Macaca mulatta: one gene and its partners. The protein of the gene in region 3 purifies or fractionates together with the protein of the main gene of each other region. This does not show direct contact. Links are inferred from orthologs where the notes say so. Each region holds a gene or a part of one and is shown on either strand. Other genes may lie near its edges.

Evidence for each region.
Region 1: the proteins of ANAPC2 (region 3) and ANAPC7 fractionate together in Homo sapiens (co-fractionation; 6 studies listed by BioGRID and IntAct, with this or other methods). This does not show direct contact. The link is inferred for Macaca mulatta from reciprocal best matches to the Homo sapiens genes ANAPC2 and ANAPC7.
Region 2: the proteins of ANAPC2 (region 3) and CDC26 purify together in Homo sapiens (co-immunoprecipitation; 7 studies listed by BioGRID and IntAct, with this or other methods). This does not show direct contact. The link is inferred for Macaca mulatta from reciprocal best matches to the Homo sapiens genes ANAPC2 and CDC26.
Region 4: the proteins of ANAPC2 (region 3) and ANAPC11 purify together in Homo sapiens (affinity purification with western blotting; 7 studies listed by BioGRID and IntAct, with this or other methods). This does not show direct contact. The link is inferred for Macaca mulatta from reciprocal best matches to the Homo sapiens genes ANAPC2 and ANAPC11.
Region 5: the proteins of ANAPC2 (region 3) and ANAPC16 purify together in Homo sapiens (co-immunoprecipitation; 5 studies listed by BioGRID and IntAct, with this or other methods). This does not show direct contact. The link is inferred for Macaca mulatta from reciprocal best matches to the Homo sapiens genes ANAPC2 and ANAPC16.
Region 6: the proteins of ANAPC2 (region 3) and ANAPC13 purify together in Homo sapiens (affinity purification with mass spectrometry; 3 studies listed by BioGRID and IntAct, counting the BioPlex papers as one, with this or other methods). This does not show direct contact. The link is inferred for Macaca mulatta from reciprocal best matches to the Homo sapiens genes ANAPC2 and ANAPC13.
Region 7: the proteins of ANAPC2 (region 3) and NEK2 purify together in Homo sapiens (affinity purification with mass spectrometry; 4 studies listed by BioGRID and IntAct, with this or other methods). This does not show direct contact. The link is inferred for Macaca mulatta from reciprocal best matches to the Homo sapiens genes ANAPC2 and NEK2.

The regions. Positions count from the first base shown.
Region 1 is NC_133416.1:117,567,921-117,572,364, forward strand, and holds the start of ANAPC7 (anaphase-promoting complex subunit 7), read right to left. Parts: upstream 3,201-4,444; 5' UTR 3,120-3,200; coding exon 3,019-3,119; exon of another isoform or gene 2,018-3,018; intron 1,552-2,017; exon of another isoform or gene 1,509-1,551; intron 1,273-1,508; exon of another isoform or gene 1,218-1,272; intron 1-1,217. UniProt on the Homo sapiens protein: Component of the anaphase promoting complex/cyclosome (APC/C), a cell cycle-regulated E3 ubiquitin ligase that controls progression through mitosis and the G1 phase of the cell cycle.
Region 2 is NC_133420.1:45,041,048-45,045,619, reverse strand, and holds the start of CDC26 (anaphase-promoting complex subunit CDC26), read right to left. Parts: upstream 3,052-4,572; coding exon 2,971-3,051; intron 1-2,970. UniProt on the Homo sapiens protein: Component of the anaphase promoting complex/cyclosome (APC/C), a cell cycle-regulated E3 ubiquitin ligase that controls progression through mitosis and the G1 phase of the cell cycle.
Region 3 is NC_133420.1:5,270,076-5,274,080, reverse strand, and holds part of ANAPC2 (anaphase-promoting complex subunit 2), read right to left. Parts: intron 3,038-4,005; coding exon 2,863-3,037; intron 2,387-2,862; coding exon 2,267-2,386; intron 1,836-2,266; coding exon 1,718-1,835; intron 39-1,717; coding exon 1-38. UniProt on the Homo sapiens protein: Together with the RING-H2 protein ANAPC11, constitutes the catalytic component of the anaphase promoting complex/cyclosome (APC/C), a cell cycle-regulated E3 ubiquitin ligase that controls progression through mitosis and the G1 phase of the cell cycle.
Region 4 is NC_133421.1:91,557,177-91,560,868, reverse strand, and holds part of ANAPC11 (anaphase-promoting complex subunit 11), read right to left. Parts: intron 3,011-3,692; 5' UTR 3,000-3,010; coding exon 2,891-2,999; intron 2,117-2,890; exon of another isoform or gene 1,927-2,116; intron 1,847-1,926; exon of another isoform or gene 1,608-1,846; intron 1-1,607. UniProt on the Homo sapiens protein: Together with the cullin protein ANAPC2, constitutes the catalytic component of the anaphase promoting complex/cyclosome (APC/C), a cell cycle-regulated E3 ubiquitin ligase that controls progression through mitosis and the G1 phase of the cell cycle.
Region 5 is NC_133414.1:77,394,348-77,398,352, forward strand, and holds part of ANAPC16 (anaphase-promoting complex subunit 16), read right to left. Parts: intron 1,589-4,005; 5' UTR 1,562-1,588; coding exon 1,420-1,561; intron 1-1,419. UniProt on the Homo sapiens protein: Component of the anaphase promoting complex/cyclosome (APC/C), a cell cycle-regulated E3 ubiquitin ligase that controls progression through mitosis and the G1 phase of the cell cycle.
Region 6 is NC_133407.1:37,526,371-37,530,977, forward strand, and holds the start of ANAPC13 (anaphase-promoting complex subunit 13), read right to left. Parts: upstream 3,160-4,607; 5' UTR 3,125-3,159; exon of another isoform or gene 3,079-3,124; intron 2,679-3,078; exon of another isoform or gene 2,505-2,678; intron 1-2,504. Other genes in the region: CEP63 (centrosomal protein of 63 kDa), read left to right, coding at 3,385-3,660. UniProt on the Homo sapiens protein: Component of the anaphase promoting complex/cyclosome (APC/C), a cell cycle-regulated E3 ubiquitin ligase that controls progression through mitosis and the G1 phase of the cell cycle.
Region 7 is NC_133406.1:69,411,291-69,415,857, forward strand, and holds the start of NEK2 (serine/threonine-protein kinase Nek2), read right to left. Parts: upstream 3,130-4,567; 5' UTR 3,097-3,129; coding exon 3,001-3,096; intron 2,162-3,000; coding exon 1,944-2,161; intron 1,359-1,943; coding exon 1,118-1,358; intron 1-1,117. UniProt on the Homo sapiens protein: Protein kinase which is involved in the control of centrosome separation and bipolar spindle formation in mitotic cells and chromatin condensation in meiotic cells.

The DNA of each region.
Region 1 (4,444 bases), on a different chromosome or scaffold from region 3:
ATTCTGATACTCATATAACATACATGTCTACTTACACATGCATAAGTTACCTCTGTAATGACACAGGAAAAAATAGTTACTGCCTCTGGAGAAAGGAAATGGTGGGGTGAGGTTCAAGACTCAGGGAAAGATACTGATCTGCATGCCCCTTCTCCACTGTTTGAATTTAACAGTGTCTACTGCCTATTCCACAAGAAATTTTAAAGTATAAACCATGAAGGGCAGAAACCTGAACATGTCCTAAAGCTAGGAAACTGCCAATCTAACCTAACATGAAAAAGCATGGGCTGAACTTAGTCTAGCCAGAGAATTAAACTGTTTCAAACTCTCCTGTAACATCTTTGAGAACTAAGAGCAAGTAGGGCCTAAATCTCCAAACGTGGAAACTATGCTTTGACAAATCACTCAGAACCAAGAACCAAGTGAAAGGTTCCAGAATAAACACAGAAGGCTGACAGAGACCAGGGCTCCTGTCAACATGAAGTGGATGGTGGCAAAATGATGGGTCTCACTAGTAAGGTCCAAAGCACACTAATGAGGCCGGGCTCGGTGGCTCACGCCTGTAATCCAAGCACTTTGGGAGGCCTAAGTCATGGGGATCACTTGAGGTCAGGAGTTCGAGACAAGCCTGGTCAACATGATAAAACTCCATCTCTATTAAAAAAAAAAAAAATTAGCCAGGCGTGGTGGTGCGAATCTGTAATCCCTGTTACTCAGGAGGCTGAGGTGGGAGGATCGCTTGAGCCTGGGAGGTGGAGGCTGTAGTGAGCCAAGATCGCACCACTGCACTCCAGCCTGGGCAACAGAGCAAGACTCTGACTGAAAAGCAAAACAAAACACCAAAGCACACTCATGAAAATCCAATGGGCAGCAGCAGCTGCATTGTAAGCACTTTAAGGACCTTTCCCTTCTGACCTAGACCAGCTTCTATAGCAGGCCAAACACTAATACATCTACAGAGTAGAAGTTTCCATGATAATGCCATTTGGAGGTAGCAGACTGGTGGCTCAGAATGGAGACTCTCCAGTCAGAGAAGACCAGGTCCAGACATTGTACTCCTCCATTTATTAGATGTGTGAACTCAGACAAGGGTATTTCACCTCCCTGAAGTTGTACTCACTTCCTCAACACACTCAATAAGCATGTGAGTGCTTAATGCGCACATCCACTGTGCTTTCAATTGCTAGGCGATGCGAAGGGTAGAAAAGTGGGAGTACCTGAGAGTCCTGGGAGTCAGAGAAGGTTCTCTAGGAGAGATGTTCAGGCTAAAACCTGAAGGAGGAGGCAGCGCTGAGATAAGGACTGTTGCAGCAGGAACAGCAAGTACAAGGGCCCAGAGAACACGCTTGGTACATTCAAATAACACAAAGAGGCCAAGCGCGGTGGCTCACGCCTGTAATCCCAAAATTTTGGGAGGCCGAGGTGGTGGGATCACCTGAGGTCAGGAGTTCAAGACCAGACTGGTCAATATATTGAAACTCCGTTTCTACTAAAATTACAAAAATTACCTGGGCATGTGGCGCTCGCCTGTAATCCCAGCTACTTGGGAAGCTGAGGCAGGAGAATCGCTTGAACCCAGGAGGCGGAGGCTGCAGTGAGCCGAGATCGCGCCACTGAACTCCATCCAGCCTGGGCGACAGAGCAAGGCTCTGTCTCAAAAAAAAACAAAAATAAATAAAAATAAATAAATAACAGAAAGAATAGCCAGAGAGGCTGGAGAGCAGTGAACACAGTAATGAGATGAAGTAGCAGAGAGTGAAGGGCAGATAGTTCCTTTCGGAGGCCATGGGAAATAATTTTCATTAGTGCAATAAAGGATTTTTTTTTTTTTAAGACGGAGTCTCGCTCTGTCGCCCAGACTGGAGTGCAGCGGCGCGATCTCGGCTCACTGCAAGCTCTGCCTCCCGGGTTCCCGCCATTCTTCTGCCTCAGCCTCCCCAGTAGCTGGGACTACAGGTGCCCGCCACCACACCCGGCTAATTTTTTTGTATTTTTTTTAGTAGAGACAGGGTTTCACCGTGTTAGCCAGGATGATCTCGATCTCCTGACCTCGTGATCCGCCTGCCTCGGCCTCCCAAAGTGCTGGGATTACAGGCTTGAGCCACTGCAACCAGCCAGTGAAGGATTTTAAGCAGGAGAGGGGCATGTCCTTAAGGATGGACACTCAAGGATGGAATCAGCCCAGTGCTTCAATGAAACAAGAAAGGCGCCACGCCCACCCATTAATGGAATCTCCCGTTTCTTTTTTGAGACAGGCTGTCGTTCTGTCGCACACGGTAAAGGACAGTGATGCGATCACGGCTCACTGCAGCCTCGACCTTCTGGGCTCAAGCAATCCTCCTGCCTCAGCCTCCCGAGTAGCTGGGAACTCAGGCACGCACAATCACGCCCGGCTAATTGTTTAATTTTTATTTTTCATAGAGCAGGGTCTCCCTATGTTGCCCAGGTTAGTCTTAACTCCTGGGCTCAAGCGATCCTCCCGCCTCGGCCTCCCAAAGTGCTGGTATTAGAGGCGTGAGCCATCGCGCCCGGCCCCGTTTTCAGGGGTTTCCCAAGGCGAGAAAGTGGACCCTCCTGATACACTTAATGGGGTGACCAATCTCAGATGCGGGGCTAGAGCATAAAAACCAGGAGGCTGGGTCCCGGAGCTGCAGCGAGAGAAAAAAACGTTCTCTGGAAGGAGCCGAGAGGGGAGGATTCGGCCCAGCGATGTGACAGTCGCGCTACCCCGCGACAGGTGCCTCAGAAAACCCTCGCCTGGGTCGTCCTCAGAGCCTCTGCCTTCTATTTGTCCAAGCCGCCGCTCGCCACATCTCCGCAGGGACTTGACGCCGGCACCCAGTGAACCCAACTTGCGCTCCGAAGTCTGCTCCGCTCCACTACGCCCTCGCAGACGCCGGAGCCTCCGCTGGTGCGGGAGGCCGCTCCTTCCCGCCTGTTCCCGCGTGCCCTGAGCCCCCGGTCCCAGACCACTGCCGCTTTCTCCTCAGCCCCAGGCCGCTCCCCGCCTCAACTCACGGGTTGTTATTACTCATTGTAAGTAACAAGCTGCTGAGGAGCCGCACGTTGGAGTGCAGCCCCGCGGCCGCCATGTCCCGCACGTGGTCTATCACATTCATCCTGCCCTGCAAGGCCGCGGGCAGCGGCGGCAGCACTGTCTCGAAAAACCGGTAAGGGATCCTTAGGGAAGACTCCAAAATGGCCGCGTCGCCGGGGTCCATCGGGTCCACACGCGGCACCGCCCCCAAGCAAGAGGTAACTACTGAAGTGCCCGAATAAAAAGAAACTCGAGTCCCTGCTCCTGTCGTGGTCCCTTTCCGGTGAAATGAGTTGTTACTTTTACGCAAAAATTACGTCATCATCCTAAACTGCAAAATTTACTGAGGACTTACAATGAGACAAAAGTTACCTTAGTAAGACTACTTGGTCAATTTGAATGAGTCTGAGAGGAATTTGGGCCTCTCAGAAATTAAAATGTGTGAGCATTTACCAGAAATAAAATATAGTAAGGTGAGGAAAAGCGCTCCAACTGGAATTAAATATTCTAATCGGGCGCCAGGGACAGACCTAACGGCTTTTACAGTCGCGCATGCGCACCAGGCAGGGGCCGCCGCCTCCCTGCTCAGGTGTTTTGTGTTCCTGCTAAAGTCAGGCTTTGTCCCTGGATGAACTTGTTAATTCGAGGGGCGTATTTTACCATGTAAAATGATTCCCTAAATCCGTGGAAATAAAGACTAGATCCAGGAATTAGCTGATACCCATATAAACCAGCATGTGTCTGGCACAGTTAACTTTTTACAAAAGTTTTACACAAGTTATTGGACGTTCACAACAATCCATAAAGTTGAAGTTGTCTTTCCCTTCTCACAAGGGAAGAAACTGCCTGCTTAAATTTTGTGCTCAGGTTGTTAAATGGTTGACTTGGAATCAGATCGCCAGTGGTTAAATGTGATGGATCGCAAACTCGAATGTATACAGAGACCAGGGAGGTAACTGAGCCAATGAGGCAGTTTAGGTATTTGAATCAGAATCCCAATATCCTCCACAATCACCCTCTCAGATATAGCCTTTCGCTCCTTTCTTGAAGGAGACAGTTGTTTTGGTCTATATTTTGTTTTCATTTGATTTTTAGAGTAACAGATGCAAAAAAAAATGCTCTGAAAAAATCACGGTATATCTTCACCAGTCAACTTTTTCAGCTCTTACATTTTGTCACAGTTGAAGCTCCTGTGATCCTTTTCCCATCTCATCCCCTACTCTAGTTTTCTGGATGTATGAGACCTTTGATGTGATTTTGGTAGGCATGATCACTGTGAACTTTTCTTTTTTTTTTTTTTTTTGAGATGGAGTTTTGCTTTTGTCGCCCAGGTTGGAGTTCAAAATCTCAGCTCACTGCAACCTCTGCCTCCCGGGTTCAAGTGATTCTCCCTGCCTCAGCTTCCTG
Region 2 (4,572 bases), about 40 Mb from region 3:
GAGGCCGAGGCAGGCGGATCACGAGGTCAAGAGATCAACACCATCCTGGCCAAGACAGTGAAACTCCATCTCTACTAAAAATACAAAACTTAGCTGGGCATGGTGGCACATGCCTGTAATCCCACCTACTCAGGAGGCTGAGGCAGGAGAACCACTCGAACCAGGAAGTCGGAGGTTGCAGTGAGCCGAGATGCACTCCAGCCTGGTGACAGAGTGAGACTCCATCTCAAAAAAAAAAAGATGTAACCCCTGCCCTCCAGGATGTCACAGTCTAATAGGTAAACAGCCAAAGAGACGATTATAGGGTGATCCGGGCTATGACCTATGACAGAGGGAAGTCAACACTGCCAAAGAGACGAGGTAAGGAGTTGGGGTGTGGTGGTACAACAGGAAGCTACAACTGGAAAGATGTAAGAGCAGACAAGGGGGAGCAAAGGGTATTTCAACAAATTTATTATTCTAGAGAATAGACAGAAAAATAAATTGACTGGTAAAGAAATAACCACCAAAAATCTATAGCCTAACTGATCCCATGAGATTAAAAGTAACATGAGAAGGTTTTATGCTATCTTATCAAAAGGTCTGGGTTTTGTGGCTTCATTTTGTTTTCAGATAAAAGGTTTGGTTCTTAAGTCACATGTGACTGCAGAATCCACAAAGTATGTCTCAGTTTGATCATTTTCAAAAAGAAACACTTATCCCGTAACTGCCACTACCTGACTGTAAGGACAACAGATGATAACTTTCTCTAAGAGAGTGAAATGATGTTTTATCCAAAATTCCTTAATAATAATAGAATGGCTCAGCTACTCAAATCACTGGAATTACCACCATTCTTCACCACTTGCTGCTGGACTGTGGGCATTTAAATGCCAAGCATCGGGCTGACCGCAGTGGCTCATGCCTGTAAATCCCACTGCTTTGGGAGGACTGCTTGAGCCCAGGAGTTTGACACTAGCCTGGGCAACATAGTGAGACTCCATCTGTCCCCACAAATTTTTTTTTTTTCTTCAGACCAAGTCTCGGTCTGTCACCAGGCTGGAGTGCAGTGGCGCCATCTCGGCTCACTGCAACCTCCACCTCCCAGGTTCAAGCGATTCTCCTGCCCTCGGCTTCCCAAGTAGTTGGGACTACAGGTGCATGCCACCACACCCAGCTAATGTTTGTATTTTTAGTAGAGATGGGGTTTCAACATGTTAGCTAGGATGGTCTCTTGACCTCGTGATCCGCCTGCCTCGGCCTCCCAAAGTGCTGGGATTACAGGCGTGAGCCACCACACCCGGCCCACAAAAAATTTAAAAATTAGCCAGGCATAGTGGCACATGCCTGTATTCCCAGTTATTCAGGGGGCCGGACGTGGTAGGATCACTGGAGCCTGGCAGGTAGAGGCTGCAGTGAGTGGTGATCATGCCACTGTACACCAGCAGGGCGACAGAGCAAGACCCTGTCTCAAAAATAAAAATAAAAAATAAAATAAATGCCAACACTCACAAAGTATTACAGTGAATAAAATAAGGTATTGCCTTTTATGTGGCAAATGACCTTCCTGATTACTAGTAAGTGATGTTAGAAAGTTCTACCTAAATATCTTTGTGAAAACAAGTTCTAAAAGGCAAACAACTCTATCATTCTGAGAATATCCAAGTGGAATGAAATCACTTAAAAGGGTTCCCACTTTGAGCAACTGCTGTTTCAGAAGCTAGAGTCACAGTAGATAATCAAACTCATGTTGGTAATAAATGAAACAGGCCAGTTTTCTACTGGTTTCACTTTAGGGCATGACTGTCCCTGCTTCCTAAGTTACTCTAAAACAGGGCAAAACCCACTAGATAACTGCCTTTGGTGAAAAGACTAACTCAATAGTGAGCTGACTCTGTAGAGTCAAAGTTCGGCATGCTAGCATTTTATGAGATTTGTAACAACTGAAGTTTAAGCCATACTTTAAAGCTCATCCTTAATAATATATGAGTTTTTTAAAAGCAGAAATTATGATGCTTCGAGAACACTAAAGTGTCTTGGGATGAAGCAGGGGGAAGAAATCTAAGTTATTAGTCTTAATATGAAGCATATACAATCCATAATAAAGCTGTTGGTAAATACATGCAAAATGTACTGTCCTCTGCCATATAGTACAAGATATCTGCTAGGACAGCAAATGAAAATAGACTTGTATTGAGCCCTCCTTTGGGCCTGGTATTGCAGGGAACAGATGCAGACAGAAATATACTAATCCCTGACTTCAAGGAGCTTATGGCCCAGTGAGGGAAAACAAAAGCAAACAGACAATTACAACAGAGACTAACAGTGCTTATGAGAGAGGTTAGCACAGGAGGATGAGGTTGAGCCTAACCCAGCTGGGGGCTGGAAGAAGTAAGAGTTAGCCTGGCAAAGAAAAATAAAGGACTTTTCTGGCAAAGGGAACACTTGTGTATAGGCATTGAGATTAAAGATAACCCAGCAGTGAAAGTGGAGAGATAAGCAAGGACCAGCTCACAAAGGACCTCATATGCCATGCTAGGGAATTTGGAATTTATTCTGTAGACCACTGAATAATTTAAGTCTTATTAATGGACATCTAATACCATGTAGCAAGGCCACACTTAAAAATACATATGGGGCTCCTACCATGAGCTAGATGGTAGGAAATGGTGATGCAAACAGACATGATTTCTGCAATCAATCACTGGCTGGGTGCAGTGGGTCACATGTGTAATCCCAGCACTTTGGGAGGCTGAGGCGGATGGATCACTTGAGGTCAGGAGTTGGAGACCAGCCTGGCCCCAACATGGCAAAATCCCGTCTCTACTAAAAACACAAAAATGACCCGGGCATGCTGGCATGTACCTATAGTCCCAGCTACTTGGGAGGCTGAGGCAGAGGTTGCAGTGAGCCAAGGATCATGCCACTATACTCCAGCCTGTGTGACACAGCGAGACTCCATCTCAAAAAAACACAAAGTTGTATTCATACCTCCAGGTCCTTTCGAATGCTCTCAAACTCTTCAATGTCATCAAGCTTTAGCTCTAGGCGTGTTGGTTTTCGTCTCAGCATACTGAAGTCAACACTAAGGGCCAAACCCAGTGAACTATTAGCTGATAAAAATGAAAGAGAGGAGGAAAAACTGAAGGTAATAAAGTCTCAGATACAAAACATAAAATCAGTTTGCAAGCCTGTGTACTAAAGTGAATGGAAGTATTAAAACTTTATTTGAATTCACACAGACTTCTAAAGTCTTTTTAAGAGATGGGATCTTGCTCTTTGCCCAGGCTGGAGCACAGTAGCATGACCTTAGCTCACTACAGCCTCAACTTCCTGGGCTCAAGCAATCTTACTGCCTCAGCCTCTAGAGTAGCTGGGACTACAGGTGTACACCACCATATCTGGCTAATTTTTGTGTTTTTTGTAGAAATGGGATCTCTCTCTGATGCCCAGGCTGGTCTCAAACTCTTGGGCTCAAGTGTTCCTCCCTCCTCATTTTCCCAAAGTACTGGCATTATAGGCAAGAGCTACTATACCCAGCCAACTTCTAAAGTCTTTAGGTATATGATTATTACATTTTTATTACATTATGGAGATCTACAGCTCTGTAAAATCAAAAACTCTTTCAGTAAGAATTTAAAATAGCAAACTATCACTTTAATCTCATGTTCTAGTCACATTCAAAGAAATACTCTAGCTAAAAGAATAAACTATCACATCTCAGTATAGTTAGAGGGGAAAGTGGACAAACCAGTGAATTTAATCTACTCTACGTGAGAACTGTCAGAGATTTGTGATCACTCCTGAATGCTAAAATCAGTTTGCTAAATCTCATGAAGACTCCAACTCACCAATTCACAGGATTATCCTCAGCGTCCAAACAGATCCTAAATGTGTGTACGTCATTCATTAAACAAACACTTCTTGTGCTCCAGCTACAGAATTAAAAGGTACAGTCATAATCTGTGGGGAAAATAAAGAAAACTGTGATATCATATAACGAGAACCCTAATGAGGATACTGGCACTGGCATCACACAGGCACCTAATCCAGTCTGGGCTGAGTGTGGGGTGGACAAGGATGTCAGGCAAGCCTTCCTGGAGAAAATGATATCTTAGTTGACTTCTGAAGGGCAGGCAGAGAGAAGAGTGCACAAGGAGGCTCAAGACCAGCTTTGGCAACATAGCAAGACCCTGTCTCTACAAAAAAGTAAAAAAATTAGCTAGGCTGGTAGTGTGTACCTGTAGTCCTAGCTACTCAGGAGGCTGAGATGGAAGGATCACTTGAGCCCAGGAGTTTGAGGTGGCCACAGTGAGCCATGATCTCACCATAAGACCCCAACTCAGAAAAAAAAAAAAAAAAGAAGAAGAAGAAAAGAGGTTCAAAAGAGCATTCCACAGCCTGAAATCCCGAGGTAATACTGTGTTAACAAAAACCATTTTGTTTTGTTTTGTTTTGTTTTTGAGAAAACACAACTCCCCCAATTGAGTTTAATATCTGTTGATGGCATCATTTGTATATTCTCCACAGCATCCCCTAGAGTGTATCTATAAAAACAGTCAGTAAATGTTTGTTGAATAAAAGGTGAGATCA
Region 3 (4,005 bases):
GCCCGGCCACAATCTGCCGCACCGTGTCCTCCCGTGTCCTGCCGACGTGAGTGCTGCTGTGGCCCACAGTGTGGACACCCTGCGTGCACCTCCCACCACTCACCCCAGTCCCGGCCCCATCTAGGCCAGCACCACCCACCCTGCCTCTACACTCAGTGTGACAGGCTGTGTATTAAAGACAGGCCCGTCAGACTCCTTAAAAACAAATAAACTCAACGCTACTCGGGAACAGCAGGAGCTGTGAGCGCGCTCCCAGCACTTAGGGACATTGAGCCAGGAAGACTCAGGCCCAGGTGTCTGAGGCTGCAGGGAGATAGGATTCTGCCTCCGCACTCCGACACAGCAAGAACCTGTCTCGGAAAAAAAAAAAGGCCAGGTGGGGTGGCTCACGCCTGTAATCCAGCACTTTGGGAGGCTGAGGCAGGCAGACCAGGAAGGCAGGAGATCGAGACCATCCTGGCTAACACAGTGAAACCCCGTCTCTACTAAAAATACAAAAAAAAATTAGCCGGGCGTGGTGACGGGCGCCTGTAGTCCCAGCTACTCCAGAGGCGGAGGCAGGAGAATGGCGTGAACCTGGGAGGCGGAGCTTGCAGTGAGCCGAGATCGCGCCACTGCACTCCAGCCTGGGCGACTCTGTCTCAAAAAAAAAAACAAAAACAAAGAACTGGCCCAGAGTGCTGATGAGTTACTGGGTACAGCACACTAACATGGTACATGTATACATATGTAACAAACCTGCACGTTGTGCACATGTACCCTAAAACTTAAAAAAAAAAAAAAAAAAAAAAAAGAAAGAAAAAAAAAAGAAGTTGGCCGGGCGCGGTGGCTCAAGCCTGTAATCCCAGCACTTTGGGAGGCCGAGACGGGTGGATCACAAGGTCAGGAGATTGAGACCATCCTGGCTAACACAGTGAAACCCCGTCTCTACTAAAAAATACAAAAAACTAGCCGGGTGAGTTGGTGGGCACCTGTAGTCCCAGCTACTCAGGAGGCTGAGGCAGGAGAATGGCATAAACCCGGGAGGCGGAGCTTGCAGTGAGCTGAGATCCGGCCACTGCACTCCAGCCTGGGCAACAGAGCGAGACTCCATCTCAAAAAAAAAAAAAAAAAGATATATCTTCTGAAAAAAAAAAAAAAAAAAAGAACTGGCCCAGAAGCCAGGCCAGTTACAGCCACAAAGCACCAAACAAGTCCAGACAGGCGCCAGATTCCCACCAGCTGCTACCGCTCGGCTTCTGGGGTCTGCAGTGCCTGCCGGCCCTGAGGAATTTCCAGGAGGCCACGTCAAGGTCCTCATTCCAGCACATTCTCCACCGAACAACCCCGGGCAGTGTCTGTTCCTTGTTGTAGGAAAGGCTGGGACAGCACAGAGCCCACTCTCCTTGCCTGGTCAGCCGGGGGGGCTGGTCAGCACCAAGGCGAGGCCAAGTGGAAGAGATTCTCTCTGCACTGGGGAGGAGGAGGCAGAGGAAGGGCTGCGGTGGGCCTCTGGCAGCTGCACACAGAGGGCACAGTGACACCGTGTGACAAGGACAGGTGCCCAGCACCGGCAAGAGGAAAGGAAAGAGCCCTGGGCCTGATCCTGTGCACTCCCCAGCTGGGGGAGACCTTGTGTCCTGAGGGCTGAGCACACCCTCTGGCTGCCCCCAGGACCACGAGGAGCTCAGCAGGATGCCGGGGGTCCCAGTGGCTCCCAGGCCGGCGCGGCCCTCACCTCAGGTAGCGGCGGATGGGCTCACAGGCGACCTCCAGGATGACCATGGAAGGGTCCAGCACACGCAGCGCCTTGATGGCAGAGATGTAGAGGGTGATGATGTCACACGTGTTGACGCCTAGAGACAGGGCAGAGGCCAGCAGTCATGCAGTGCCCGGGACCACAGCCTCCCAGGGGCCAACGCCCGAGTAGACAGCTGGCCATGCCGGTCAGGTGGTCTACAGGTCCCCACTGCAGCCTTGTTCCCTTGTCCCCCCATCCCCATCTCTACCTGCTCACAGGCCCTGCCCTGCAGGGTGGTCTGTTCTGAGAGAATTAAGTCTCATCACCTCAGACCTACCAGTCAGTCCCGACTCCCTTCAAAGAAGAAACAAGCAAGCTGATGGGCACTCGAGATCCCCTAAGGACCTCGCCAACTGCTTCTCCACCCATTCCTTCCTTAGACCTACAAGTCCAGGGCTAGCAGACTGGGCCCCAGGCTCCCTGGACATGGGCACCCTGGTGAGTGTCTAAGCCCCGAGCGCTGGGCAGCCAGGCAGCACACGGCACCTGGATGCAGGAGCCGAGTCTCCAGGGCAGCCTTGAGGGACACGAGCAGCTGCTGCCTCTGGTCTGTCCTCTCCAGGCAGTACTTGAGGTCCTCGATGGCCGGCCGGGAGTCTGGAAAGTCTACAAGAAGAGGAACATCCCTCAGGGACGAACACAGATGTGTGTGCACGTGCGGGCTGGTGCAGGGTGTGTGCAGTGTGTGAGAGGACATGCGCTCGCCAGCCCCAGGAAGATGATGAGACCACCTGCTAGGCACCAGACGTCCCCCCGGACACTTCGGCGTGCTGATGCATTTGACCACAATGCCACAGGGTGGACAGAGCAACACCCAGGGGCCAGTCCCCAGCAAGAGCCAAGAACAAGGGAGCATAGCAGTGGACACCTAGAAGCACCGTCCAGCATCTGCCACACCTGCCCTGATCCAGGCATAGGGGACACCCACGGTGGGGAGGGTCCCAGCCCTGCCCGGTGCACCCCCCTGCAAGAGCGACAGCGAAGGCACGGGGAGCCCAGACGCAGACACAGAGGAGACGCGGCGAAGGCCCTGGGAAGGCTCCCCAGACAGGAGAGAGGACCCGAGGCCGGGGCGGGACAACCTCGGATGATGCTGAAGAGCTCCTCGATGCGCAGGCTGGCGTAGATGCGGTAGAAGAACCTCTGCACGTGGCAGCGCCAGCGGCGCAGGGTGTTGCCAGCCTCAGGAGACGCAGGCCTGGCGGGGCCGTCCTGCAGGAACACCTTGCCGAGCCAGCCGACCACCCGCTCGATCCACTGTCGGGAGAACGCTAGCGTGAGCTGTAGGAAGGCACGGTGAGCCCCAGGCTGACTCACAGGCTGGGAGGAGCCTCGCAGCCACCCACTGTGTCGGCCAGGACCAAGGGGAGCCCGAAGGCCACCTGTGTCTGGAGGCGGAAGCACATCAAAACCTGCAGGGTGGGTGATGGCCCAAAAGGCAATGTCCCGGCCCCCCTCTGGTCTTCATGCCTCTCACACGCACCAGTGCCCACACTTATCACTGGCAACAGCAGCCCTAGCATAAGACGTGATGGACACACATGGCCTGTGCGCTGTGCCTGGCGGGCACATTTGCCCCCACTTAAATGGATAAACACGCTCTTGAGACCAAACATGTGACCAGCCCCCACTCCCCCGCCATGCAGATGACACCGTACATCGCAAGAGCGTCTCTGAGTGAGCACAAACCCCTAGACGGCAATTCCACCGCGGGGTCCCAGGCGTGCACACATCCCACAGACCTGCTACCCAGTAACAAGACCGCACAGATGTTCACCCTCTCCACCCGACTGCCCACTCTTGCCCACCGCTGCGGGGACGCCCTCTCTCTCTGAAAGCCTGACATCACAGCCAATCTGCACCTCAGTAGGTGGACTCCGAAGCACTGAGGAAAGGACAGGTGACATGTGGGAACAGGGTAGGGGGACCCACAGGGGTGGGCCCAGCTCCCCTATGGCCCTGGGAGCCCAGAGCAGAGCCCCAGACCACACCCCAACAGTGCAGAGGCCTGGAGGCCCCATGTGAGGGTGTCTCGCCCCCGCTGTGGTGCAGGCCGGCTGTAGGTCAGTCCATGAGGGACCGGCCAAGCAAGTCCACACTCAAGTAGGGCAGCAAACAGGAGAAGGGGGTCCATTCACTGGCCCTTCTGGTGGGCCTGGCTTCGTCACACCTGCCTGGGGCAGCCCCTGGGGACCCTGGCCCGGTATTGACTGCAGCCATGGGAT
Region 4 (3,692 bases), on a different chromosome or scaffold from region 3:
CCAGCTACTTGAGAGGCTGAGGTGGGAGAATCACTTGAGCCCAGGAATTGAAGGCTACAGTGAGCTATGATTTTGCCACTGCACTGCTGCCTGGGTGACAGAGCAAGACCTTGTCTCAAAAAAAAAAAAAAATTGTACTAAGATTCAGTCATTTCAACTTCACCTAAAGAAGCAAAGACAGGGGTGGGCGCGGTGGCTCAAGCCTGTAATCCCAGCACTTTGGGAGGCCGAGGCGGGCGGATCACAAGGTCAGGAGATCGAGACCACAGTGAAACCCCGTCTCTACTAAAAATACAAAAAATTAGCCGGGTGCAGTGGCGGGCGCCTGTAGTCCCAGCTACTCGGGAGGCTGAGGCAGGAGAATGGCGGGAACCCGGGAGGCGGAACTTGCAGTGAGCCGAGATCGCGCCACTGCACTCCAGCCTGGGCGGCAGAGCGAGACTCCGTCTCAAAAAAAAAAAAAGAAGCAAAGACAGGGGTGGGCGCAGTGGCTCACACCTGTAATCCCAGTACTTTGGGAGGCCGAGGTGGACGGATCACCTGAGGTCAGGAGTTTGAGACCAGCCTGGCCAACGTGGTAAAACCTTATCTCTGCTAAAAATATAACAAATTAGCTGGCTGTGGTGGTGTGCGCCTGTAATTCCAGCTACTTGGGAGGCTGAGGCTGGAGAATCCCTTGAACTCAGAAGGGTGGGTGTTGCGGTGAGCTGAGATGGTGCCACTGTACTCCAGCCTGGGCAACAGGGCAAGACTCTATCTCAAAAAAAGAAGAAAAAAAAAAGCAAAGCCAGATGAGTGTGGTGGTATGCTACTTGCAAGGCTGAGGCAGTGAGATTGCTGAAGTTCAAGTCCAGCTTGGGCAACATAGTGAGACCCTGTCAATCAATATGGGCATATACCTGGCCCCACAAAAATACGCCTGGTTACTTGGGATAGTAGGGAGCTTCTCGGTCCTCCCCATTCCCCGCTGTCCTCTCCATTGCCCACTGTCCTCGGGGGAGTTCTTCTTGTCCTCCCTGGGCAAAACCTTGACCCTTGCTTCTGCTTTACGTTCATTTTGGTCTCATGAAAAACCATTTTGCTGATACAAAACTCTGCTTTCAACCTAAATGTAATCAAACTTTTTTTTTTTTTTTTTTTGAGACGGAGTTTCACTCTTGTTGCCCAGGCTGGAGTGCAATGGTGCGATCTTGGCTCACCACAACCTCCACCTCCTAAGTTCAAGCGATTCTCTTGCCTCAGCCTCCTGAGGAGCTGGGATTACAGGCATGCGCCACCATGCTCGGCTACTTTTTTGTATTTTTAGTAGAGACGAGGTTTTATCATGTTGGCCAGGCTGGTCTCAAATTCCTGACCTCAGGTGATCCGTCCACCTTGGCCTCCCAAAGTGCTGGGATTACAGGCGCCTGCCACCATGCCTGGCTAATTTTTTTTTATTTTTAGTAGAGACAGGGTTTTGCCATGTTGGCCAGGCTGGTCTCGAACTCCTGGCCTGAAGCAATCCGCCTGCCTTGGCCTCCCAAAGTGTTGGGATTATAGGCGTGAGCCACTGCACCTAGCTTATACCATTCAATTTTGAGAATTTTCAAATAAAAAGTTTAAACTAATCTTTTTTTTTTTTTTTTTTGAGACGGAGTCTTGCTCTTGGCTCATGGCAACCTCCGTCTCCCAGACTGAAGCGATTCTCCGGCCTCATCCTCCCCAGTAGCTGGGATTACAGGCACGCGCCACATGCCCAGCTAATTTTTGTATTTTTAGTAGAGATGGCATTTCACCATGTTGGCCAGGATGGTCTCCTGACCTTGAGATCTGCCTCCCTCAGCCTCCCACAGTGCTGGGATGACAGGTGTAGGCCACCACACCCTGCCTCGAGCTCTTGACCCTGTGATCTGCCTGCTTCGGCCTCCCACAGTGCTGGGATGACAGGCGTGAGCCACCGTGCCGGCCTCGATCTCTTGACCTTGTGATCCGCCCACCTTGGCCTCCCACAATGCTGGAATGACAGGTGTAGGCCGCCCGCCTGGCCTCTAATCCCTTTTTAATCCCACGTATTTCACAGCTGAGTTTCATGCTATCAAGTCTGTGCAGGATCTTTATACAAACATGAGTCCCAACCACCTGGCTTTTTTTCTATCAACTTTTCTTCATGAAATGACAATGAAAATGTTGGGGGGGTGCAGTGGCTCATGCCTGTAATCCCATCACTTTGGGAGGCTGAAGCAGGTGAATCACCTGAGGTTGACAGTTTGAGACCAGCCTAACATGAGAAACCCCGTCTTTACTGAAAAATACAGAATTAACCGAGTGTAGTGGCGCACGCCTGTGATCCCAGGTACTCAGGAGGCTGGGGCAGAAGAATCGCTTGAGCCCAGGACGCAGAGGTTGCAGTAAGCCGAGATTGCGCCACTGCACTCCAGCCTGGGCAACAAGAGCGAAACTCTGTCTCAAAAAAAAAAAAAAAAAAAGAAAAGGAACTGTGGGGATGTCATGCAGGTTTAACAGGAGCCACCGAGGCTAGTGCAGCAGGCAGCACGGAGGGGACACTCACAGCCGGGGCAGCTCAGACAGCACAGAGGGGACACTCACAGCCGGGGCAGCTCAGACAGCACAGAGGGGACACTCACAGCCGGGGCAGCTCAGACAGCACAGAGGGGACACTCACAGCCGGGGCAGCTCAGACAGCACGGAGGGGACACTCACAGCCGGGGCAGCTCAGACAGCACGGAGGGGACACTCACAGCCGGGGCAGCTCAGACAGCACGGAGGGGACACTCACAGCCGGGGCAGCTCAGACAGCACGGAGGGGACACTCACAGCCGGGGCAGCTCAGACAGCACGGAGGGGACACTCACAGCTGGGGCAGCTCAGACAGCATGGAGGGGACACTCACAGTCGGGGCAGCAGCCGTTAAATGCCATCCTGCAGATGCCACAGTTCTCATCGTTGGCCACCCAGAGCCAAGTGGCCACGCCATTCCAGCACTTAATCTTCACCTTCATGGCAACAGAGCCTGTGGTGGAGGGGAACAGGACGACTGGCTAAATTGAGTCTGCAGAGCTAGAACATTTAGGCGCCAAAATAGGTATAAGCCTGGCACAGTTTAGTCCCAGCTACTCAGGGAGCCAAGGCAGGAGGATCACTCCAGCCCAGGAGTCCAAACCTAGCCTGGGAAACATCGTGGAACCCAGCCTGGGAAACATCGTGAGCCCTGTTTCTATTTTATTTTACTTTTATTTTTATTAATTTTTTGTTTTTTGAGACGGAGTCTCACTCTGTCACCCAGGCTGGAGCGCAGTGGCATGATCTCACCTCATTTCTTGTGCCTCTGCCTCCTGAGTAGCTGAGACTATAGGCACGCGACTCCACACCAGACTAATTTTTGTACTTTTTTTTTTTTTTTTTTTTTTTTTTTTTGAGACGGAGTCTCGCTCTGTCGCCCGGGCTGGAGTGCAGTGGCCGGATCTCAGCTCACTGCAAGCTCCGCCTCCCGGGTTTACGCCATTCTCCTGCCTCAGCCTCCTGTGTAGCTGGGACTATAGGCGCCCGCCACCTCGCCCGGCTAGTTTTTTGTATTTTTTAGTAGAGACGGGGTTTCACCGTGTTGGCCAGGATGGTCTTGATCTCCTGACCTCGTGATCCACCCGTCTCGGCCTCCCAAAGTGCTGGGATTACAGGCTTGAGCCACCGCGCCC
Region 5 (4,005 bases), on a different chromosome or scaffold from region 3:
TTTGTATTTTTAATAGAGAAAAGGTTTCACCATGTTGGGCAGGCTGGTCTTGAACTCTTGACCTCAGGTGATCCACCCGCCTCGGCCTCCCAAAGTGCTGGGATTACGGGCGTGAGCTACAGTGCCTGGCCAGAAATGTGCATTTTAAGTAAACTCTTCAGGTGATTTTTATGCCTCCTGATAAGAATTATTAGTCTAGCTCTTCAAATGACATGGTTACAGCCTGTACCCTGATCTTGGCTAGTCAGTTAGCCAATGATGCTGAACAAGATGGTGAATGATTTGATGCAAATCTGGCTCTGGTGCTAGAAAAACCACACAGCATCATGCTGCAGTGGGTCAGGAGTCATGTTCACATAAAAGGGCACTGTATTAGCTTTTATTCCCTCTTAGAACCTTTCTGACAGGGTGAATCTATCTGTAGATTAATCATACTATAAAAAGACACATCAAACCTACTACCATGGGAGGTAGACAGGTGCCAGGATAAAGCAAACTGGAGTAGGAGGTCAAGAGAATTCCTGGACTCAGTGCTGACTCTGGTTTTTTTTTTTTTTTTTTTTTTTTTTTGAGACAGAGTCTCGCTCTGTCACCCAGGCTGGAGTGCAGTGGCTCGGTCTTGACTCACTGCATGCTCTGCCTTCCGGGTTCACGCCATTTTCCTGCCTCAGCCTCCCGAGTAGCTGGGACTACAGGCGCCCGCCACCACGCCCAGCTAATTTTTTTTTCGTATTTTTTAGTAGAGACGGGGTTTCACCATGTTAGCCAGGATGGTCTTGATCTCCTGACCTCGTGATCCGCCCGCCTCGGCCTCCCAAAGTGCTGGGATTACAGGCGTGAGCCACTGTGCCCGGCCAACTCTGTTTTTTTGAGACAGAATCTCATTTTGTTGCCCAGGTTGGAGTGCAGTAGCATGATCTCGGCACATGGCAACTTCTACTGTTCAAGTGATTCTCCTGTCTCAGCCTTTCCAGTAGCTGGGATTACAGGCGCCTACCACCATGCTCGGCTAATTTTTGTATTTTTAGTAGAGATGGGGTTTCACCATGTTGGCCAGGCTGGTCTCGAACTCCTGGCCTCAAGTGATCCGCCTGCCTTGGCCTCCCAAAGTGCTGGAATAACATGGATAAGCCACGGTGCCCAGCCCTACCTCTGCCTTTAACCTGGTCAAATCACTTAACTTTTCTGGATCTAAATAACTTTAGATGACTTCCTTGATTTCCAAAGTCCTTTTCAGCTCCAACATTCTGATTCTGGAGCAAGACTGTTTTTAAATATATTATTTTGAGATGGGGACAAGAGATGAAATGTAGAGCTGAAATCAGGGCAAACTCATCTTTAATCCACTTAATAGCTTCTTCACAATTAATATTCATTGCAGGTCTGAATCCAATTATTCAGAAAGCAGCATGAGATCACCTTCTAACATCTCTCCAGCTCCTTTGGGGTAGGTGAAAAGGGCTTTCCGTGGTGGGGCAAGGTCTGAGACACTGAAACCAGATCCAGTGACAGAACTTCCACTGACCCCACCAGCTGAAGAGGATGATGATGAAGCAGCCATTTCCTCTCTAGCAGAGTTCTTACTTCACTACAGAGAAAGAAAAACAGCAATTGGCAAGTTTATGGAAGTGAGAGTGACAACATTTCATTCGAGCTGCCGTAAGGGTCAGCATGCAGTTTTATAAAGAGTTAGCTCCCCGTTTTTCTATCCTCTCTACTTTCATGATATTTTATTGATGTCTCAGGCCAAAATATCAGTCAGGTTTTGAATTGAAAATAAGCTTAAGAATAGTATATCTACTTAAAACATGAATTCCTACCATTAGCAAACTGTTTATGTCAACTGAGATTGACTGTGGGTGATTCATGAGTTATGAAGGGGTGATATGGCAGTGCCAAGGCAGAAATTTGACTGAGGAAATAAGTTATATGAGGATAAAAGCATCACACTTCACAGGACAGTTTGTCTTGGATACATCCTGATCAAGCCACATAAATAAATTATAATATTTTCCAAATAAAATTCCAGAGTAACACTGTGTTCTGTTCCCAGGGAAGGGGAACTAGTTAGGAAATACCTATTGGCCTTCTCATTAAAAATTAACTTTTGGCCAGGCACGGTGGCTCACGCTTGTAGTCCCAGCACTTTGGGAGGTGGAGGCAGATAGATCACCTGAGGTCAGGAGTTCAAGACCAACCTGGCCAACATGACAAAACTCTGTCTCTACTAAAAATACAAAAAAAATTAGCCAGGCGTGGTGGTGGGCGCCTCTCATCCCAGCTACTCGGGAGGCTGATGCAAGAGAATTGCTTGAACCCGGGAGGCAGAGGTTGCAGTGAGCCTGGGTGACAGAACAGGACTCTCTCTCAAAAAAAATTAACCTTTTCATTCAAATGTAATACCCAAACTTATCACTTGGTGGCGTCCCAAAACCGGAACAAAAAGTTCAGGAAACAATCTTGGAAATCATTGCCTATTATGAACAGAGCACCTGTGAGTGTTTAACCTTATTGCATATCAAAAAATGCAAATGTTATAGAGAAAACTGTCCTGAATACATGACACCTTACTAAAGTTCAAAACAAACACTCTCTTTGCCACAGAAGCTTACACAACTTTAACAAAAATTCTAAAAAGTGTATATGGTATTTTATTTTTTTTTGAGACACAGTCTTGCTCTTGTCACCCATACTAAAGTGGCACGATAGCAGCTCACTGCAACCTCCACCTCCTAGGTTCAAGCGATTCTCCTGTCTCAGCCTCCCAAGTAGCTGGAATTACAGGCATGAGCCACCATGCCCAGCTAATTTTTGTAGTTTTAGCAGACACGGGGCTTCACCACATTGGCCATGCTGGTCTCGAACTCCTAACCTCAGGTGATCTACCTGCCTGGCCTCCCAAAGTGCTGGGATTATGGACATAAGCCACTGCATCTGGCCTCTTTCCATTTTTTTTTTTTTACAACAGAGATGAGGTCTTGCTATGTTGCCCAGTCTGGTGTGTATATATGTATGTACATATGTATTTATTTACGGAGTCTCACCTGTCGGCAGGCTGGAGTGCAATGGCGCGATCTCTGCTCACTGCAACCTCTGCCTCCCAGGTTCAAGCGATTCTCCTGCCTCAGCCTCCTGAGTAGCTGAGACTACAGGCGCCGCCACCAAGCCCAGCTAATTTTTGTATTTTTAGTTGAGACGGGGTTTCACCATGTTGGCTAGGATGGTCTCCATCTCTTGACCTCGTAATCTGCCCGCCTCGGCTTCCCAAAGTGCTGGGATTACAGGCATGAACCATCGTGCCCAGTCAGTCTGGTCTTTAACTCCTGGTCTCAAGTGATCCTCCCACCTTGGCTTCCCAAAGTCTCACTGCGCTCAGCTCTCTAAAAAGTGTACACAGTATTTTTTTTTTTTTTTTTTTTTTTGAGACGGAGTCTCGCTCTGTCGCCCAGGCTGGAGTGCGGTGGCGCGATCTCAGCTCACTGCAAGCTCCGCCTCCCGGGTTTACGCCATTCTCCTGCCTCAGCCTCCAGAGTAGCTGGGACTACAGGCGCCGCCACCTCGCCCGGCTAATTTGTTATATTTTTAGTAGAGACGGGGTTTCACCGTGTTAGCCAGGATGGTCTCAATCTCCTGACCTCGTGATCCACCTGTCTCGGCCTCCCAAAGTGCTGGGATTACAGGCTTGAGCCACCGCGCCCGGCCGGTATACAGTATTTTTTAAAGAAAAAATGGCCAGGTGCGGTTGCTCACACCTGTAATCCCAGCACTTTGGGAGGCCGAGGTGGGTAGATCACGAGGTCTGGAGTTCGAGACCAGCCTGGCCAACACAGTGAAACCCCATTTCTACTAAAAATACAAAAATTAGCTGGTCGTGGTGGTGCGTGCCTGTAATCCCAGCTACTCAGGAGGCTGAGGCAGGAGAATTGCTTGAACCCGGGAGGCGGTGGTTGCAGAGAGCCAAGGCTGCACCATTGCACTCCAGCCTGGGTAATAGAGTGAGACTCC
Region 6 (4,607 bases), on a different chromosome or scaffold from region 3:
TGAACATACTGTAAAGGAAATGGCTTCCTTCCCTAAAATAGTACCCAGGCTGCGATCTGAACAAAGCACTTCTAGGTGAACACCAGTGGTAGAACCTCATACTGCTGGTTTCTCCAGTTTCTGCTTCCCTTTGGGATAGCTCCTTCCTTGGAGGTTCCTTCCTCTAATTCTTAATGCTGCACTCCCTTTAATTTCTGGCCCAAATGGCCAGGATACTTATTTAGCTCCTTGACCATGGCTGATTCCCCATTTTTCTCTGAAGCTGCAATAAAAACCCCAACAAATGACCAATTCACACCCTACCAGCAATTTTCTTAAAATGGTAAGTCATGGGCCACACTTAGTGTAGGATCTGGGACCATTTACTTGTATTTTAAATTTAAATGTATTACTACTGAACTCTGCTTTGTACCAGAGTTCACAGATACCAATATATTTCTTTTCAATTACCTTAATTTATGTTTTGCTTTATGCTTAGCAAACTGTTATGCAATATCCAGACTTAAAATTTTCCGCTGGATTCTAATTCGTAGTATGTGAACGTGTTTTCCCCTCTAAAATTATGCTCAATATATATTAAATGATATTTACTTATCTATATTTGAATCACATACATCTTGTTCTACAAGACAGATTCAAACATACTTGAACAGATTGAAAAGAGCTATCATTTATTGTAAAGCAATAATATATTATCTTAAACTTAAAAACAAAGTTCAGTCTTAATAATTACTTATAGATAACAAAGAATAAATAGGTCCTTAGTTAATGAATTATTTAATTCAGAAGTAGACAACCTTGCTTAATTTCATCCTATCTGTGGTATGCTTTCTAATCCAAAAGGCTGGCTAGCTTGGAGGATACTTTTGGATTCCCTGTTTCCAAGGTTGGGCCCTGATTCATCATAGGCGTCATCCTATGGGTGCTCCCTGTTACAAAGTCACAATCCAAAAAGCCCAGAAGCCACTGGCATCAAAGGTACTCTCAGTTATTCTGTTTCTGAGACTATGGAGACTCACACAATAAGCAATTTTGGCGGGGGCGGGGTGGAACCCACCATCTTGAGGTGCTTTTTTCAGAGCTCAGCCTGGGTGCTATTTTAAGGAAGGAAGCCTTTTCCTTTACAAGGTCAACTTCAGACATCGTCTTGCCTTGAGGATTTGTGTCAGGTCTGTAGTTGGTCCCTTCCCATAGTCCATTTTAGTGTTATCTCAGTATGTTCATGAGCTCCTGTGCCTAAGAATGCTGAGGTTTGGGCCAAGGCAGGTGGAAGTTTTTGTAAAAATGGCTCACATGGCCGGGCGCGGTGGCTCACGCCTGTAATCCCAGCACTTTGGGAGGCCGAGGTGGGCGGATCACGAGGTCAGGAGATCGAGACTATCCTGGCTAACACGGTGAAACCCCGTCTCTACTAAAAACACAAAAAATTAGCCGGGCGTGGTGGCAGGCACCTGTAGTGCCAGCTATTCGGGAGGCTGAGGCAGGAGAATGGCATGAACCCGGGAGGCGGAGCTTGCAATGAGCCGAGATCTGGCCACTGCACTCCAGCCTGGGTGACAGAGCAAGACTCCGTCTCAAAAAAAAAAAAAAAAAAAAAAAGACTTGGTCTCAAAAAAAAAAAAAAAAAAAAAAAAAGGCTCACAGATGTCCCCCATAGGATAACTGCAAGATATCCCCAACACCTTGGCAAAAATTATACACAGATTGGTGTGTAGGAAAGGGTTTAAAAGATCTGGGCAAAACTTAAGCAAAACGCGCCCTGCTACTTCTGTCACCGGTGAGCCAGGTGAGGGCTTAATTAATCCAGTACTCAATAATTAACCCCCTACTACCCAGTGGATAACTCAAAGCAAGACGAAGTTTTGGTTATACTTTTGAAGTCCCTGTCTTATAAGAGCTCCCCACTTTCCTGCTGCTACTCCTTTGTCCTTGCTGCTGTGTCTCCTGGGATACCCTTTTCACTTTCCTCAGCTGATCCAAACCTGACTTTCCCAGGCCCACATAGGTTTTCCACCTTTTAGTAAGGTTTTCTCAGATCACTCGAGCTTCAGTAGGCCTTCTATCCTTGAACTCTTGCTTCTTGTCCTAACTTAAATCTACTAAACAAGCTTTGTGATCAATTGCTCAGGTATTATTGTCTCCAACTGTTATGTGTACATTTTGTACCCAGGATTCCTTAGTAGATCTTTCTACAATTTGGCCTCAATCTTTTTCACCTGTCCCTTCTCCAAACACCTCAAACCCTGTCACATTTTCCAGCCTTGACAGTTAAAACCCCCCTTTCCACATCACTAATGCCACTCTTCCTTTCAAGATCAACGCAGGCGTCAGCTCTTGGAGGTCAACATCCCATTTCCGGGGTTAGGCGTGAAGGTGCCTTCACTCTTAAGGGGCTGGAAGGATGGAAAGCAACAAGATAATCTAATCAATGCCCAAGGCACAGCCACCGTCCCAAATACTCGTCACACAATACGACCACTGTTTCCTGAACAAACTTTTCTTACACGTGACAGTCCCGATGCCTGCAATGCTGTTTGTTTCTTCCTTTTTATTCCAGCGAACCCATAGTCAGTCTAAAAATCTCAGGTCTCAAGTCGCTTCCTGTAGGAGGCCGCCTCCAAACCTCAGGCTGAGCGCGGTCCCAGTACCCACCGGGGATCTCATAGTTCCCTAAGCACAGAGCATGGCACCAACTAGGTAGCCTGTCAAACAGCCCAGATGTATGTCTTTCCAGACACGCAGTGCCTGCGTTTCCCGGGACAGGGACATGTCTTATCCATTTCTATACATTATAGCTTTGTAAACATGTATCTGTAAGGTCAAAGCGGGAAAATATTGTTCCTTGCTAGAAATGAGCCTCGCAGGCCACCACACTGTACGAGAGGCCGCCCCTCAGCCGCGGCTTCCGGCCTGACGCAGGATGTACCAAACGTGGAAGCGGAGACGGGGAGGTCTGGGGTGCCAAGCAAGTCCCTTTCCTCCCGACACAGCGTGCAGTAAAGAAAACGGTTATGAGCGTAAAGTGACAGCCTCGGCCGATGGAAATAGGGGGAAGTCCGACACTGAGCCACGAACGCATTCCCGCGCCTCCAAAACCTAGGCCGGGGGCGCTGCAAACCCTTACCGTTACGCGGCCCAGCGCGGCAGACGCTTCCTCCTGCCACGCCCCGCATCACGTGTCTGCACGCTCTTTCTCGGATTCCCGGATGTGGGTGAGTCCATTTGCTCGCGTGCAGGGGAAGTCTGGAGAAGACATTGATTCAATTATTAAAAGTGTGGGGGCAGTGGGCGGAACGAACGCTCCGACTGCTGAGGCTGGACGTAAGCTTAGTGGTGGCGCGCGTGCGCAGTGCACGCCCGAGGTAACGGCGGGAAGGCTGAGGGATGCGCTTGCTGCAGCCGTGTAACCGCCCGTGCGCAAGACGGAAGCGCAAGGGGCGAGCGCGTCCTGGTCCGGAGGCGGCCCAGGCTGCCTTGGTGACTCTGGCTTCGCGGCCTCATGGCTTGCGGCCGGTTCGCGCAACAGTCTGCGAACCACCAGGCGCCTCCCCGCCGGCTCGCGTCCGCCCCGGAGCCCCGTCCCTCGGCCTGGCCCGCTATGCCCTGCACACCGGCGTAGTCCGGCATGGCGCAGCCCGGCGCGCGGTTCGGCCCCGCCAGGTGGTCACAGCGTTTCCTCGGAGGCCGGGTGGCTGGGGGCGCTTCGGAGAGTAGCCAGGTGGGCGGGCGAGCTGCGCCCAGTACTCACCTTTCCCGGCGGACCCACCTTTCTTTTCAGCGGAGGGACCCCTGTGCGGCCTCCCGGCCAGGGCTGCTGTTTAGCTAGCGCTGTTAGGACTACTTCATTCACGGCACAAGGGGACCCGCTCATTTAGGGTGGCATGTTAAGGTTGGCAGCTTTTAAAATAGTGAGTTGGTGTAAACGGTTATGTTTAGTACAGCAGGTACGGAAATATGGCAGAAATCGTGGACTGAAATTGGAGAACCCTGAACTAACTGCTCCATGCACACAGATCAGGGATAGAAAGAAACAAGGACGGTTTCTTAGGAACACTTTAATCATGGAGATACTTGAAGACAGTACATTTAGGCTTATAATGTGGTTTTTTTTATGTCGTATACGACATCAGGAGAGTAAAGATGTGTATGATGTCAGAGACTAGTCATCTTGTATAGTTTAAGCACCGTACACTAATATGCACAAAGTAGTTTTCCCTGAGCTTTATGTCCGGTTAAACTTATTAAAAGAATTTATTCTTTTATAAAGCAGTATTGTAGGGTAGATGCTCTGTATTTATACAGTTCCTCACGTGCTTGCGTTTATTTTTTAGGTAAGAGAAAATCATAAGGATCGTTGATTAGATTTCTGTTAGCTGTAGCTTAATAGTAAAACAAAGTATATATATTTTCTTATTTGGAATGCAGTACTATTTTTAGATTAATTTTTGAGATTGCCTTTTGACTGTGGCATGATCAGTGATCAGGGTAGTAAAAAAGGCTCTGAAACTAAAATGGGGTAGAGATTTATAAACAGGCACACTGCCTTTTAAAATGTATGTAGATGCAACTCTAAAAGTTGTTTGTAAAAATTGTATATGTTGATTGTA
Region 7 (4,567 bases), on a different chromosome or scaffold from region 3:
TCATACAAAGATATGCAGAACAGTACTTCTAAGAATGGTGAAACATTTTGGAAACAAAATATCCAGCAATAGAGGTAATTGGTGAGTGGACTCAGCGCGATATTTCAGGAAAAGGCAACAAAAAAATAACACGTACAAAAAGTTACATTGTAAAAACATGCTATCTCAGTGAGCAAACTTCCTGAGCTCTGATTCTGCATGCACAAGAATCATTTACAGAGTCTGTTAAAATGCAAAGTCTAAAATAAAAAGTACAATATTGAAGAAAAAAAAAAAAAAAAAAAAAAACAAGAGTTCAAGAACCTACCCAGAGATCGAAATTCACTCGACGGATTTGGGTTTGGTTTAGCACCCAGAACTCTGCATTTTAAACAGACACTCCAAGTGAGTCTGATGCAGATGACCAGGACCTACACATTGGAAACAGCTCTTGAGGGCAGGGACAAAATCCATTTCATTTTTGTAATCCTTGAGTTTAATGCATTGTAATCATTCCATAAAAGCTTGAACTGAATATGCTTTAATTTGCATGAATGCTCAAAAAATTGAACCCACTGAGAGATGACAAACAGTAGCAAACCTTAGAGTAGGAATCTGTCTTCATCATACTTACATTATTACACATAATTCATGAAGCAAACAAAAACTCATAGACTTTATTGGTCTGGTGGTCCATGTGGAAAAATATAACAGTATTTTCAATTCTTAAACAAACAGAAAACTCAATTTCCCTGCTTCAGAATGCTTAACATTAAAAGATGTTTTGGCTGGGAGCGGTGGCTCACGCCTATAATCCCAACAATTTGGGAGGCTGAGGTGGGCAGATTGCTTGAGGTCAGGAGTTTGAGACCAGCCTGGCCAACATGATGAAACCCTGTCTCTACTAAACATACAAAAATTAGCCAGGCATGGTGACATGCACCTGTCGTCCCAGCTACTCTACTCGGGAGGCTGATGCAAGAGAATCCTTTGAACCCAGGAGGCAGAGGTTGCAGTGAGCCGAGATCGTACCACTCCACTCCAGCCTGGGCAACAGAGCGAGACTCTGTCTCAAAAACAAACAAAAAAACAAAAATAAAAGATGTTTTAAAAAGTATCTAAATTCTGAAATACTTACAGGAGACATGTAATAAGGTGTGCCAACAAATGTTTTTGCAAAACTCGTGTCGTGGTTTAATATTCTAGCTAGCCCAAAGTCTCCAAGCTTGACGTTTTGCTTGCCATCCAGGAAAACATTGGCTGGTTTCAGATCCCGATGCAATACAGTATGACCACCATCACTTCGTCTGTGGCATTCCTTCAGGGCCAGAGTCAACTGAGTCATCACTCGAAGAACAAACTCTTCATCTAAGTATTGCCTGAAACCAAAACAGTTATACAGCATATAACTTCTAAAAAAAAAAAAAAATCGTTGCCAAGATGGGATGATATAAATTATCCAGTGTACTAATAGGGAAATCAATTATTTATTTATTTATTTATATTTTTTGAGACAGAGCCTTGCTCTGTCACCCTGGCTGGAATGCAGTGGCACGATCATGGCTCACTGCAGCCTCGACCTCCCAGGCTCAAGCAATCCTCTTGCCTCAGCCTCCCAAGTAGCTTAGACTACAGGCACATGTCACCATACCTGGCTAATTCTTGTAGAAACAGGGTCCTACTATGTTGCCCAGGCTGATCTTGAAATCCTGGGCTCAAGTGATCCTCCTGCATCGGCCTTCCAAAGTGTTGGGATGACAGGTGTGAGCCACCACACTCAGCCTATAGATTGTTATTTTGATATAAAATATGGGTGTTGATTCACCGGGAATTTTCTAAAGTACTATGGACCTACCAAACAAATGCAAGTATACTCTTCCATATTACTGATCCTAAAACAAGATGCTTAAAATAAATGAAAGTAGACCTAATTTCAGCTTACATTTTTAAAAGATTATGCTTACCTTTCCTTGGTTCCCTTTGTAATTACACTAGCCAGATCCCCTCCTTCACAATATTCCATTACAATGTACAGTGTTGTGTTGGTCCGGTCAATAATTCGATCATAGTAACGAACGATGTTTGGATGTTTCAGTTCACGAAGCAAATTCACTTCAGAAACAAGCATCTGTTTCTCAGTTTCTGTCATGGAGCCATAGTCAAGTTCTTTCCAAACTAATATCTAAAATAAGAATTTCCAAGGTATGAATGAACTCATTACGCTCAAAAACAAAGAATGAAAGTTCCAAGATTTAAAAAATAACCTTCCTTTTAATTATATCCTACAATCAAGGTCATTATCTAATTTAGTTCAATGAACTTAAGGAACTGTGAGTTTACTTCCATAATCTTCTTTCAATTTCTAAGCAGTAAATGATATTGTAGGGAGATAAAGGGGAATAAGGCACATGAGGTCTCCCCCAACCCCTACCCTCAGTTGGTTAGTGGGAAGTTGGCAAAAAGGTACTTTAGTCAAAATTGGGGTGGAGGTGGTCAAAGTCCCTGCCCCATTCCACCTCAGTCGTGTTTTCCCAGGATGAGACACCTTGGAAAAGCAGCCAGGCAGTTTCCTGTCCAATATTACTTTCTGTAAAAGGTCTACCTGTATACATTGGGAAATATGAATCCAATAATCCGAATAATGGGTATTTTGAGGGAGTCTGACTGCAGATACAAAGCTTCGGGTTCTGGTGGTCCTGCCCCTTTCTTGTGTCTGAGAGGGCCACTCTTAGAGCTCTAAAAACAGCTCAGGAGTTAGCTACGTGTCACCAATGGAAGGTCCTTAGCAACCCAAAGCAGAAGAGAGAAATGGGGAGAGAAACGGGAAAAGATGGAAATACATATATCAAAAGACGCGGTCTCCCATCCTTTAAGCGACCCAGGACAGGCTGTCAGATGCAGACTCAGTAAAGACGGCTGAGTCTTCCGGGCACCCACTTCCCCAGCCCTCTCGGTTCCCTTCGGTGGCGCAGGGCGCTCGCCCCTAAGCAGAGGCTGGCACAGGGAAGGGACCACGCTCACCTTGCCGTCACTCTTCCTCCGGATCTTCTGGCAGCGGCCATAGGAGCCTGTGCCAATGGTGTATAACACTTCATAGTCCTCAGCCCGGGACGGCATGGCCGGCCAGCCGCCAGAGTCGCGCTGCCTCACGCAGGTTGCGCCCCCAAATGCGGAGCTCCAGGGACCGGGACCGGGAGCTTCAGGGACCAGCACGGAGAAGCCCCCGAGCAGCGCTAACCAGTCACCCTTGCCTTCGGCCCCGTTTAACTGTCGCGGGCCCTGATCTCGCAGTCTATTGGCAGGCGGTGGGCCCGCTTCGCCTCTCTGATTGGCTAAGAAGAACACAACAATACCCTAGGCATCTTGGGAAAAGTGTCACTAGGCAACCGCGTCGGCGTCTGCTTTTAACCTGTGGGAGCAGAGGGCGGAGCTAAACCAAAGGGAGGGCGGGAGAAAGGAAGCGGCAGCAGGCGCCTCTTGGCAACTCTAACCCTCTGGTAGAGATCGCCAAGGTAACCGAGATCGAAGGACCTCCCCTCAGGCTTCTTTGCACACAGCTTCCACCAAATGCCTTCTGACCTTTGCACTCTGGCCCCTCACACTACCTACTCTCCCCAGAACACGCCTTCCTCGCTCAGGTTCCAGTACCCTGAACCTGGGTGGGGTCACGTTGAGGACACGCTGAGAGCTGAATACAAATTAGAAATTAGACTGGGCGCCGTGACTCACCCTCGCCCGTAACCCTAGCACTTTGGGAAGCCGAGGTGGGTGGAACGCTTGAGCCCAGGAGTTCAGACCAGCCTGGGCAATATAGCAAACCTCGTCTCTACTGAAAATACGAAAATTAGGCCGGGCGCTGTGGCTCACGCCTATAATCCTAGCACTTTGGGAGGCCGAGGCAGGCGGATTGGGATTGCTTGAGGCCAAGAGTTCAAGACCAGCCTGGCCAACATGGCGAAACCCCGTCTCTACTAAAAATGAAGAAAAAAAAAATTAACCGAGCATGGGGGTGCATGTCTGTAATCCCAGCTTCTTGGGTGGCTGAGTCATGAGGAACTGCTTGAACCCGGGAGGCAGAGGTTACAGTGAGCAGAGATTGTGCCACTGCACTCCAGCCTGAGTGACACAGTGAGACCCAGTCTCCAAAAAAAAAAAAAGAAGAAGAAGAAATACAGTCGCTCTCTGACCAAGCACTTTACACATCTTGTCCCGTTTATGTGTGCCAAACACATAATTCACCCTATTGACAATACTTCATTGAACACAGATTCTTTTTTAGGCACCCACACAAACCAACTTTCCCAGCTTACGCAGCCAAATGAACAGTCCCATGTTTACCAGGGAAGGAGCACCTAGAGGCCTCCATCCAGGGCTTGTTGGAGAAATACGTACATTACCAGAAAGCTAATAATTTGGCAATGCATAAACAGGCCAGTTTTCTTTAAATATCTATTTGGCATAGGATTAAAAGAAACCTGATTTTTTTTTTTTTTTTTTTTTTTTTTTTTGTTTTGAGACGGAGTCTCGCTCTGTCACCCAGGCTGGAGTGCAGTGGCCGGATCTCAGCTCACTGCAAGCCCCGCCTCCC